Linked DNA regions of Nothobranchius furzeri. The protein of the gene in region 3 purifies or fractionates together with the protein of the main gene of each other region. This does not show direct contact. Links are inferred from orthologs where the notes say so. Each region holds a gene or a part of one and is shown on either strand. Other genes may lie near its edges.

Evidence for each region.
Region 1: the proteins of cep76 (region 3) and cep97 purify together in Homo sapiens (co-immunoprecipitation; 4 studies listed by BioGRID and IntAct, with this or other methods). This does not show direct contact. The link is inferred for Nothobranchius furzeri from reciprocal best matches to the Homo sapiens genes CEP76 and CEP97.
Region 2: the proteins of cep76 (region 3) and cep290 purify together in Homo sapiens (co-immunoprecipitation; 5 studies listed by BioGRID and IntAct, with this or other methods). This does not show direct contact. The link is inferred for Nothobranchius furzeri from reciprocal best matches to the Homo sapiens genes CEP76 and CEP290.

Annotation. Positions count from the first base shown.
Region 1 is NC_091754.1:25,617,071-25,621,258, reverse strand, and holds the start of cep97 (centrosomal protein of 97 kDa), read right to left. Parts: upstream 2,870-4,188; 5' UTR 2,661-2,869; coding exon 2,576-2,660; intron 2,474-2,575; coding exon of another isoform or gene 2,337-2,473; intron 1,991-2,336; exon of another isoform or gene 1,808-1,990; intron 1,635-1,807; coding exon of another isoform or gene 1,524-1,634; intron 1,055-1,523; coding exon of another isoform or gene 979-1,054; intron 852-978; coding exon of another isoform or gene 646-851; exon of another isoform or gene 316-645; coding exon of another isoform or gene 279-315; intron 1-278. Other genes in the region: rpl24 (large ribosomal subunit protein eL24), read left to right, coding at 646-851, 979-1,054, 1,524-1,634, 2,337-2,473. UniProt on the Homo sapiens protein: Acts as a key negative regulator of ciliogenesis in collaboration with CCP110 by capping the mother centriole thereby preventing cilia formation. Required for recruitment of CCP110 to the centrosome.
Region 2 is NC_091744.1:50,579,370-50,582,947, forward strand, and holds part of cep290 (centrosomal protein of 290 kDa), read left to right. Parts: intron 1-158; coding exon 159-364; intron 365-635; coding exon 636-787; intron 788-1,085; coding exon 1,086-1,197; intron 1,198-2,834; coding exon 2,835-3,290; intron 3,291-3,368; coding exon 3,369-3,533; intron 3,534-3,578. UniProt on the Homo sapiens protein: Involved in early and late steps in cilia formation. Its association with CCP110 is required for inhibition of primary cilia formation by CCP110.
Region 3 is NC_091745.1:49,054,243-49,058,572, reverse strand, and holds the start of cep76 (centrosomal protein of 76 kDa), read right to left. Parts: upstream 2,829-4,330; 5' UTR 2,419-2,828; coding exon 2,356-2,418; intron 1,999-2,355; coding exon 1,813-1,998; intron 1,705-1,812; coding exon 1,614-1,704; intron 1,528-1,613; coding exon 1,303-1,527; intron 1,225-1,302; coding exon 1,039-1,224; intron 216-1,038; coding exon 118-215; intron 1-117. UniProt on the Homo sapiens protein: Centrosomal protein involved in regulation of centriole duplication. Required to limit centriole duplication to once per cell cycle by preventing centriole reduplication.

The DNA.
Region 1 (4,188 bases), on a different chromosome or scaffold from region 3:
CTGTATCAAACACCAAAATCAAGGGAAAATAAATGCATATTATCCCTACATTTAAAAGCAAAATGATGGGTCAGTGTAAGAATCTTTGCTTTGATGTGTTTAACACAAAACTGCGCGCATTGTAAGACGACAGAAATGACACAGGATGTTTTGATCTGCTCATAATCATGCTAACGGGCTAGCGGTAGTCATCTGATGCAGCCATCACTCCAATGTCCAGAAAAAACACGGAAATGTTACTTTTTCTGTAAAAACAAAACAAAATTTACACCACCTACCATCAACTATATCACTCTGTAAATCTGATACACCCATCTTGTTGCCCCAAACAACGGCAAGCGTTAGCTAGCAAGGGGAGAGCAAGAAGCGTCGTTAGGTTGTCAGATGCTGTGCGAAAGGCATTGTGGGAAATGCAGTTCACTTATTCACTTTCATTGGTATATTGCATCGACTTTCGTCTTAAAAAGACTACAGTTTTCCAAAAGCGCGCCGACGTCCCGACAGCCAAGTTGTAGTGAAAAACCATAATTAAAAAAAAAGACTGGATAAAAACGTCAAATTAAATATATAGGATTCAGTGTAAAACTATAATCTTTTTTATTTGCATCATACATTTGTTTTTTTCTTTACGTTTTGTTGCTGCGCATGTTTGGCAAGAGAGAAATATTGTATGAACTTATTGTAGTCATATTATTATTTTATTGGTTTGAGATTTTTGTTAGTATTTATCCAAAAGAAAGAAGAAAAGTGCCTAAAACGATATTAAAAGTGTACTTTGAAAGTACTCTAATTCTGTTTCCGCCTCCGTCATCTCTCTTTCCGGTTGTGAGCCGTCTCGTAGCCATCATGAAGTAAGTGTACCGAATAAAAATCTAAAGCCATCTCAACATTTAAATAAAAACGATTAATGCGTTAGCCATATAAAAATGTATTGTTTTTGTTTTCCCTTTTGTGATGTATTATATTTGTCATTTTCAGGGTTGAGTTGTGCAGTTTCAGTGGGTATAAAATATACCCCGGCCATGGCCGCCGATATGCCAGGATAGACGGAAAGGTAACTTCATCTTGTGTCCCACACCGGTTCTGTACTTAGCCGGTCTGTAATAGATATTAACATTTTCTCTAAATGAAGTTCATCGTATCGGAAATGTTATTGCTCCGTTTCTGTTGTATCTTCTGAAAGCCTTTTTACATGCTACAGTTAACGTTAGCAACCAACGTCATCATTAAGCGACTCATACGAATTTCCATGATCAAATGTAATGTTTCTAAATGTACAGCCACAAAATGTTACCAAGTGTAAATGCTATCTATTTTTGTAATGTATGTTGCATTAGAAGTAAGTTGTACGATTTAATGATGTATGACTTACATTTTAATGGACCATATCGCTTGTCAGTACAGCAACATTTACCATCTGATCTAGCCCTGGAAGTATTTTTAACCTGATCGTTTTAGTAATGTAATATGTGTTGAATGTAAGACGTTCTGTATAATCAAATATATTTAAATGTTTTTGGCAGGTCTTCCAGTTTTTGAACGCCAAGTGCGAGTCTGCCTTCCTGTCTAAGAGGAACCCCAGACAGATTAACTGGACTGTGCTGTACAGACGCAAGCACAAGAAGGGCCAGTCTGTAAGTGGCAGCTTTTTACTAGTCTTCAAGGACGAGGCACTTCTGATTTATTTATGTTTTCTTAGGAAGGTCCTTTTGAATGTTGCGGTTTTGAATTGATAACATTCATTGTAAATTTTCTTCTATTCACACCATTATTCATGCATTAAGTTGATCAAGCATATTTGGCTGCGAGTGAACGATGTGCATGGTGATGGTCCATGTTATGTGTTGTTGCTGAACTGTGTTTTGCAGTTTAACAGCAGTGCTCACACCACACCTGCAGCCATAGAACAACTGGGGATCATAGTACTGGCCTTTGACTGTCTTTCTTTTGGCATCTCTGCATTGGCCAGCCTCCAAACTCTCCAACATAATATTTTTCACCCATTTGTATTATTTCAGGTGTATTGCAAGATGGACAGTTTTCACAATTAAAATATGAAATTCCTTGAAGCGGTGCAGTCAGTTTTGCATTTTTGCTGTTTTAATTAACCCAAGTAAGGGTTTGTAGCATGCTCAATGTTCATTTCAAACTTTAAGTCTTTGTCCTTTAAAGTGTTCTTGTCCTAGAAATAAAATAGTTAAGTGTTTCATTAACTCGTTTATTTTGTGTTAGTGGTACCAGTTTTACTGATTTTAGAGTTGTGTGTTGTTGACATGCAAAGCACATTAAAATGTCACATTCAGCATGGTACAAGTAAATGTCATTTGTGTCAACAGGAAGAGGTGACAAAGAAGCGTACCCGCCGTGCAGTAAAATTCACGAGGGCCATCACTGGGGCCTCCCTGGCTGAGATCATGGCCAAGAGGAACCAGAAACCCGAGGTCCGCAAGGCCCAGAGGGAGCAGGCCATCAGGTCAGTGGACAAATTATAACTAAAGCTTGGAACCGACCCGGAGTACACATGACCAGACTGGTTTCAACAAGTGTGATTAAAGACTGGGATCACACACTTAACTGGTATTGATGAGGCTGTGAGGGATCACCGAGTACAGTTTCTCAAACCAACTTCCGACTGAATCCATCAAACTGCCAAGCTGCATCTACAGTAATAGTAGAAGGAAGTAAACATTAAAAACACTGCTGCTGTTTGCTAAGATTAAAAAGAAAAATTAGGGTTGGGTTAAGCCATGGAAGGGTTAACGTTTGAAATTTGGACTATCATTGTTTTGACATTCCTACTATTTATAAAATAATTTGAAGCCATTTCCCCACATCCCATCATTTCTTAAACATTAGCTGTTAACACATATTTGCAGATGAGTTTAACAATTTAATGCAACAAATTTATAAATTTAAACATGTTTGACTGCTGCTGACTTTAGGTCGGGTCTTTTTTGCACTCACATTTCTTATTTTTACCCCATTCACACATTTTGTTCCAACTAATCATGCAGACTAGACTGTTCCCAACTAGTGCAGACAGAAATGGTCAAATCTGACATAATGTTGTGTCTTTAGCTTTGCTCCTATTTTCTCAGTAAAACCATCAAATTTGACTTTACTGAGGTGAATGAAATGTTGGAGCTTTTTCTCACTGAACCTCAGTTTGACCTCAATGTTTTCAGTCCTAAACATGCTCTCACTTTATTCTTATCTGATAGCAACTCAAAGGGAAGCAGTTCTGACTATCAGAACAGTGATGCCATTACATTACTTTAGCTACAGCTTCTCATTCGGAGCAGGTAAAGGAAGAGACAATTTTCTATAACATGTTTTTGCTGGATCATTTAAATAATGACCGAAGCAAACTGTGTTTATGGATACTTTTTAGTAGTTTCAGCTTGTGTTTGAATTTTAAATTTAAAGTGCTACATAGGATGACTTTAAAGGGTGGGTTGTACAGCCATGTTATTAATAATGTAGCCTCCGCTTTTCCGGTTCGCGCCTCACTTTTTTTTTACAGTAGCGGCCCCAAATGATCTAATACATGGATTTTCTGCTTCCTGATCATGTGACGTATGCGAAGATCGGCTTTAGAGCTGTTTGTTCTCATGGTGCGGGGGCTCGTTCCAATGCCCACACAGTAAAAACATGCAAATGACGACTTAAGTCAATGGCAGTAAATGAGTTAACATTCAGCAAGTTAGAAAGGTTGATGAATGTGTGCGTCTGTTTTAGCCTGGTGTGCCAGACTCGTCCTCTTGTCTGTTCTACAGAGGACGAGTCGGGATACTCGGAGGCAGACAGCACCATGAGGGGTGGGACTCGCCAGCTCAAAAATAACCAATCACCAAAAAAAAAGCGAGTGACGATTGTAATTTATTACCTGTAGGCAAAGATGGCATCTAGTGACAGTGCAAACATCTTTTTTTTTAAACAAAGGCTTTTTAGCACTTCATGTTGAGGTTTTAAAGACATGTCCAAGTCATTTCGAACAAAGCCAAAGCAAACTCCGTTTCAGAAGCCATCTTTGTTTTATGAGAAACTGAGTGTGCGTGACGTACGCTGCTCAGCACTGATTGGCTCAGTCGGTGGAGTTATTTCAATAGGAATGCTACCAGGTCCTTTGCTTTCCATGAGAAAGCATTGGCATGGCTGTCCATGCTACATTTGTTATACAACAGTTAC
Region 2 (3,578 bases), on a different chromosome or scaffold from region 3:
TCATTGTGCTCCGACCAAATGGTGCCATCAGCGCTACTCTAGAGCTCTCACATCTGAGTCAGAGTAGTTCCATTTAGACCTCTAGGTCTGACATGGACACAGCCACAGACCTGGTTTGGTGGATTCCACCCTGAACACGATGTTTTATTTTTGGTTAGGTGTGGAACCTGGCATGGCCAAGTCAGACAAGGCGTCCATCAACAACGAGATGCTATCTGCAGCAAGACAAATCACTACCTCAGAGATGAAGGAGCTGAATGAGAGACAGAGAGCCGAGCATGCCCAGAAAATGTACGAGCACACGAGGAACTCCCTCAGACAGGTGGAGGAGCGCAACGCCGAGCTGGAGTCCAAGTTTGCAGAAGTAAGACGCCAAAGAAATCACGGAGGATTTGTTTTCTTCTGTCAGGCTCTAAAGGCGTGGGCATCAGCATCACAGTGAGCTTTGGTCCATCTGAAAACATACAGACAGTGCTATCTTACATTTCCAGGTGCAGAACGGGGTTTCACCTCACACACAGCCTGTGTGGAAAGACCAGTTCGCTTTATAATTGCTGACCCTTGGCTGCTTGATCTCCTCTCATCTATTAATATTTTCTTTTACCAAATAGTTTTGTGGTTTTGTTTTCCTTCAGCTCACAAAGATGAATGCGGAGGCCCAGAAGACCGAGCGGGAGCTAAGAGATGAGTTGGCAGACAGCGTCAGCAAAGCTGTGAGCGATGCAGATCGAGCCAGGATCTCAGAGCTGGAGAAGGCGGAGGCCGAGCTCCGCTTCGAAGTCTCCAAGTACGTTTCACGCTGTCCCGATACTCCGCTATCTTCAAACACAACCCTGGTGATGGATTATAGAGACAAGAATGTTTTCACAGGAATGATGACTGAAATTCAACCGTTTTTCATGGGCAGGGAGTAACATCAATATTTTAGAAACATGAATGATCTGTTCCTGTTGTTGTGGATTTTACAAATAAAAACTTTAACGATCGTCTTTAGAGAAATGTATAGTGTAAGTGTGTGTGTGTGTGTGTGTGTGTGTGTGTGTGTGTGTGTGTGTGTGTGTGTGTGTGTGTGTTTATTTTAACAGGCTGCAGGAGGTGTCTGATGTGGCGATGGCTCAGGTGTCTGCTCTGCAGGCCCGACAGAAGTCCAAAGATACAGAAGTAGAAGCTTTAAGGAGACAATTACTGGACTTACAGGTAACTGCCAGGGTCCTTGTGTAGGGGATTCCAGCAAATACCAGTGTTGCTTGTTTTATTGTTTTATTTGTTAGTTTCTATTTGTAGATGGTAGCACCTTCATCAGTGACTATAGATGTAGAAGATATAAAGCAGGATTGCTTGATAAATTGATTGAACAGAAGAGAAACTTGTGTTAAACAGGAAAACGCTCAGATTAGAAAAGCCTCACAGATCTATGTCACACTGAAAGCTAACGTTCATGGACCCATCTTGGCTCACGACAGGAAGGGCTGTTGTTGGTTTAGTGTCCAGGAGAGAGCAGAACACATTTGGGCTAGCAGAAGCTAACTGTTAGCATTAGCAACTTCACCACACAGCAGAACTTCATGCTTGAGCTATTTGTGGAGATAAAACATCAGTGTTGCAGAACAAACAGTCAGAGGTAGAGTCACATTGCTGTTAGCCAGTCAGAGGAGAGATATATCAAAATCTGGAAGTAAGACTCCATTTCCTGCCATCTTCTGCTCACCTCTCCTCTGAATCACTTCTAGTTTCTGAAAGAGGAGCGCTAGAGCTTTTTTTCCACAGAGATCGACTCTAAAGGGATTCATTTATACTAGAGACCACTGGAGATGAGTTTAAGAGACTCCCTCCCTCACCTCAGGTCGCCCAGTCATCGTGCTGTTGTGTCAAGAGGTCCTGCTCCGTGTCAAAAAGATCACGTCTCATTTTCTACACCCCACGGTTATTCACAAGTCCCTTCTCCCCAAAAACAAGTGTACTTGTTTTTCATTATTGCGTTTGGACGTGTTACATTTCAAATCACACCCTGTGATTATTTCTGCTGCTTTAATAATAATAATAATAATAATAATAATAATAATAATAATGCATTGAACTTATATAGCGCTTTTCTAGACACCCAAAGACGCTTTCACACACTCTCACATTCACACACTGCTAGTGATGGTAAGCTACTTGTAGCCACAGCCGCCCTGGGGAGGTCTGACAGAGGCGAGGCTGCCATTTGGCGCCGTCGGCCCCTCTGACCACCACTAAGTACCGGCCTTGTTTTAAACCTCCAGACTGAATCTGAAACAGCTTAAAACTCTTGTTTAGTTCCTTTACTTTCTCTCACAGCACTTGAACAAGTCGCCCTGAGACTAAAAATAACCGAATGAATGAGTTTCACACCTCATCTACATGTTTTTCAGGCTGGTCTACTCTGAAACAATAAGAAACGTTGTCTGTGGACACGCTGAATGGAAGCACAATCCCACACTGGATGAACACATTTCAGTTTACAGCAAAGCTCGGCTAGCTTCATTAGAGGCTGTTCTTCAAAAGGAAAAACAAAAACAGAACATTTGTTCACTTTTAACCCAGAACAGTTCCTCTTGCCGTTCCACATTGCTGCTCACCTTAGTTGAGGCCATTTTGAAGTTGGGAGTAAATCCCATCTACCTGTTCTTGAACAGCCTCAGATCAGAGAAATGGAGTTTTCAGAACTGACGAGCTGACGATTCCCGCCAGATTTGCACTTCAGTTCTGTAGGACAGAAAGGCTGTTTCTTCGAACTGAGGCTGTTCAGGAAGCCATCTGCAACAGGTAGGATGATAATGTAAATGCTCGATGCTCTGCATCTGTGTTTTTAGTCCCAGTCCGACGAGAAGGCCCTCATTGCAAAGCTCCACCAGCACATTGTAGCCCTGCAGCTCAGTGAGTCGTCTGCTGTGGGGAGGCTGGAGGCCTCCGCCACCCACATCCAGGCGCTGGAGGCCTACAAGCTGCGTGCCGAGCAGCGACTGGACACTAGCGAGCGAGCTCTGTTTCTCGCCCGCCAGGAGGGCAGGAGCCGCTCCATGCACCTTCGGAAAACCATCCAGTCCCTGCGCCGGCAGTTTGCCGGAGCTCTGCCTCTACCTCAGCAGGAGAAGTTTTCTGTGACTCTAATGAAACTCCAGGAGGACAGAACAAAAGCTCAGGAGGAGAGGAGGAAGGCAGAGGAGGAGAGGAGGGGCGCAGAGGGAAGAGCTGAGGAGCTGGAGCTGAGACTGCGAGGGCTGGAGGAGCTCATATTAACACTGAAGGACATTAAAGGTGCCCAGAAGGTCAGAGGCGATTGTTGTGTTTCAGATATTTCTGAGCTGATGTTTTATTTCCTACTAAACCAAATCTAACCTGGACAGGTCACTGAGTGGCACAGGAGGATGGAGGAGGCTCGCCTCCAGGAGCTGAGGAAGGCTAGGGAGCTGGTAGTGCAGAAGGAGGAGATCTCATACCTGAAGAAGCTCGTGAAGGAGCAGGACCGAACCATCAGCTCTCTGGAGGAGGACATTGTTCAGCTAAACACTGTAAGGAGAGGAAATGAACCCAATCACAAACTTAAACATTAATAA
Region 3 (4,330 bases):
TGTTAGATAAGCTGCCAGGGTCACCACGGTAACCAGCAGTCGCTCATTAAGGTCTCCATGTTTGCTTTTGTTTATCCTTTCTTGAACAGTTGGGTAAAGAGAATCTGCTGCACTGACCTGTGTGCTGATGACATCACTGTTCAGGTGCTTGGAGAGAGGAGGGTAGAGCTCCAGGCTGACAGTTAAAACACCAGCTGGGACTTTGCATTCACTTCCTGGTGGCACACAAACCTATCAGCAAAGACTGCAGCAGTCTGTAATCAAAGCACGAGCAGAAAGACAACAAGCACTGAGGCCTTTACACGTCTCCACCAGCTGTCCAACTGTGGAGCTCTTGGACTTCTGCAAACGTGCCCTTCTTCATGCTGGCATCTACTGAAGTCTCCATTTAGACTAGAAGTGAGGAGGATACATCACGTTGGCACCTCTGTAGCGAGGCTGTACGTAACCCTGAGAGGACCGCTGATAAACGAGCTTAAAGGACACATCAACACTAAACAAATAAAGATTTTACTAAACTGATTTGACTTCATAAGGGTCTTGATTTCATTTATCATCCTTTAATACGTTTTAAGACCCCGCCCTGAAGTAACATGGCTTGTTTGTTGAGGGGTTTCGTACATGGTCTGTATTTGTATAGCGCCTTCTTAGGGTTCTACAGCCCCCCCAAGACGCTTCACAACACAATCAGTCATTCACACACTGGTGATGATGAGCTATGATGTAGCCACAGCTGCCCTGGCGCCACCGGTCCCTCCGACCAAGGCCGGTTAACGCCCAAGGACACAACAGCAACATTCTCTGTTCGGAGTGGAGATCAAACCTGCAACCTTCTGATTACTGGGCGAGCCGCTCCAGCTCCTAAACTCCTGCTGTCCCATATGTGCTAACCGATCCAATGCAAAGCTTTGTGTTCATAACACAGATTTCATTTGGAGCATTTAAAAGGGGATTTAAGATGAACTTATTAAACTTTTATCCATTCTCACCGTTTTAAAAACATCAGAGTCTAGCGCAGCAGCTGTGTGTGTTGCTCACCAACTCCCATCAGCTCCACTGCAAAGCACGTCTTGCCACTTGGCGAGCTGAGAACTATCCTCCAGTCCAGGAAGTAGGAGGAGACAAGTGTTGTCTCACCAGAGGTGTCTGTCTTGATCAGCACAAAGTGGACCGGGTCACATATGGACAGCATGTCTGTGGCATCCACCATCTTACTGCCATCTCCTGTAATCCCACAGAAACCTTCTGACGTAAAAGCTGACTACAGAAGGGCTGATGTACTCATTCAGCTGCATCCTTTACCGAGGCCATCTTTGTGCATCTCCAGCAGGAAACCCTCCCTCAGGTCAGGTTCACAGGCACAGGGTACTGGTTTAGAGTGAAACCTCTGGTTGTGAAAGTGTAGGTAGAGTTTAAAAGTAGAGCACACCTGACCAGGTAAAGGCTCTGGCTCCTGGAGGTGCTCAAGAAATGCTTTCCCTCCAAGAACTTGGAGATGAAGATACCGTCTAGATGGATCAACGTTGGCTGAGAAAAATGAGGAGTGCAAATAAAACATCAACCAGTGCAACTGTGCAGTTTGATATTTTATAGATGTAAGCAAAGTTTCTTACTTTTCATATGCAGAGGGACGTCTGGGTTAAACACTCCAAAATGAGTGGTGGGCTTCGGAGGAGGTTTTAGTCCTGCATCTGGAGCTGTTCCCTAACAAAACAAGCAGATTTCGTTAGGAAATTAAATAAAGGACTCTGCTTTTGATCAGGTTCAAATGTTATCTGGCATTTTAATCCTGGAATATCCAAAGCTATTAACCTGAACAACATCTGTATGGTGCAGGGGAGCCTGGGTAAAGTGGAGATCTTTCATCACATCGTCTATGATGCCTCTGCGTTGGAGAACACGAAGGACATCTGCCTCAGACAGAGAGCGATGCCCTGAGCCCTGATCCTCTCCGAGAGTCTCAGCAATAAGCTCTCGGATCTTCCCATGGATGTCCATCTGACCACAGATAAACACTCATTATGAGGCTTTTACTTTAGCCGAAACAAGAAACACGTTAGTGAAGCACCGCTTCAGAATAAACTTTACTAACAGAATACTTTAGGTTGGGTTTGTTCTATCTGGCTCATAAATACACACACACACACATACATACATTCATACATATACATACACACACACACATACATTCATACACAAACACGCATATACATATACATATACACACACACACACACACACACACACATACACACATACATACATACATACACACACGCGCGCACACACAAAGAGCGCTTCAGCACATTAACAACACAAGCTGTGGCTAGCTACATAAGTAAAGAGTTGGCTCACCTTCAGTAAATGGTTGTGGATTCTCTGCTTCAGCTCGGAAGCTTTCTCTGAAGGAAGAGACATTGCAGCTTCGGCTAATGATGAACCCAGAATAAAACGTTCACCTAACAATAATAAAAGCGTTATTCCTGGTCTGAGCTATAATCCCTATGGACGTGTGCATTTATTGAGTTTTCTGTACTGCTGTTCTTCACAGACCAGTTTGAACGTTTGAACTTTGGCGAAAAAGCTAGCGCGCAGGTATTTGCCTCCGCTGATGCCTGAACAAAATAAATGTAAAATGACTAAACAGTATCAGTTATTAGGTAACACGATTACTTCAATTTCACTAAATCCTACAAATATTAAACTAATCATTGAAATACCCCATTTAAAGTGGTTATGCTAAAAACATTGTTAAATTTAGTCAGGCTTAATATTAGTTATCCTAATGTCATCAATGCAAGCGACTCTCCATAAAAGGACCCACAGTTGTAGTTCAAATTAAATTTAATTAATTTAGTCAGCAATTTAGTCGCGTTAATTTCTGTACTTTTGATTTGTTTTGTGCTTGTGTAATTCTTATTTTAAAATACATAAAACATTAAGTTATAAAATACTAAAACCAACTGAATAACACTACGTTTTATATATATTTATCTTACTGTTGAGTAATCTGTGATGATTCCTCAAACAAATACTGTAAAATATGTGTACTTCCATCTCCACAATAACGGCCTCGTCTTAAGATAATAAATGAGTTACTGGAACCCGGTGTCGGTACAAGATCTGTTCGGGTGCAAGATCGGCTCGGGGTCCGTCGACTGCCGATGACGTCAAAGTAGTTGATTGGCTGAACATGAACCTTACATAATTACGTAATCACGTTACGTTGTTATTACATTACGTTGGTCCAGGCAAATCTTTCTGTTGGAAAGATGGACAACTTTTACAAAGAAATCCATCTGTGGTCACGTGGGTCTGAGGCGGCGGTCACATGGGTCGGATGCTCATTAATTATACAGAATTTTAGGCTTTTAATACACTTAAACAGAAGAGTGAGAAAAAAATTCACCCCCCTCAGAGTTGTCATGAGTGTAAACTAGATAATTTAAACCAAAAAATGTTTTGGTACCAGGCCATAAACATGTTTATTTCTGCTGTGAAATTGATATTTTTAACATGGGAGTCAATGAGGATTTGCTCGCTTCTGACACCAGCCCCCAGCGGATGAGGGTGGAACTGCAATTTATTTCATTTCCGCGTTTGCTTTAATTTTTCACCCGCATTGTGGGGGCTTGGTTTTACCTAAAACATGGTATCTGCCAAGGATGCCCCATCTCGCCATACTTATTTTTACTTTGTACCCAAATTCTTACAACTCACATCTCAAATAGTTTTGTTCATTTATATTGTTCTTCCGGGGTCCCATGGTCCGGAAGTAGATGGGCGTGGTTTATGACCTCCTGTTACTGATGAGAAGAACAGATTATGATCTGTTTCATTGATACAATCTGGATCGTAGAAGTCCAGGATGCAGGTGGCAAAGATTATTTGTGGATTATTCTGATCCTGAACAGTTTTTCTGATGCTTCCTTCTTTGCAGGAGTCTGAGGTCCAACAGAACTCAAACGTTTCCTCTGTTATGGTTTCATCAGTAGAACACTCCCTCACGTCTTTACTGCCATGGGCATTTTATATTTGCATTTGCAGTGCGTCCTAATTTTCCTTTTGACTTTCCTCATCGAAGGCCTGTTTGCACTAAATGCCACAAATAAATTCCGCATATATGAAGTTCTCAATTTACTTGGCAATAAAGCTAATAATTTATTTCAGGGGCTGCTGAGAACACAATTGACTAACTCAAACGTTAAACCTCAAACTGCTGTACAGGGTGGGCCATTTCTATGGATATACCTCAATAAAATGGGAATGGTTGATGATATCAACGTCCTGTTTGTGGCACATTAGTATATGTGAGCAGACAAACTTTTCA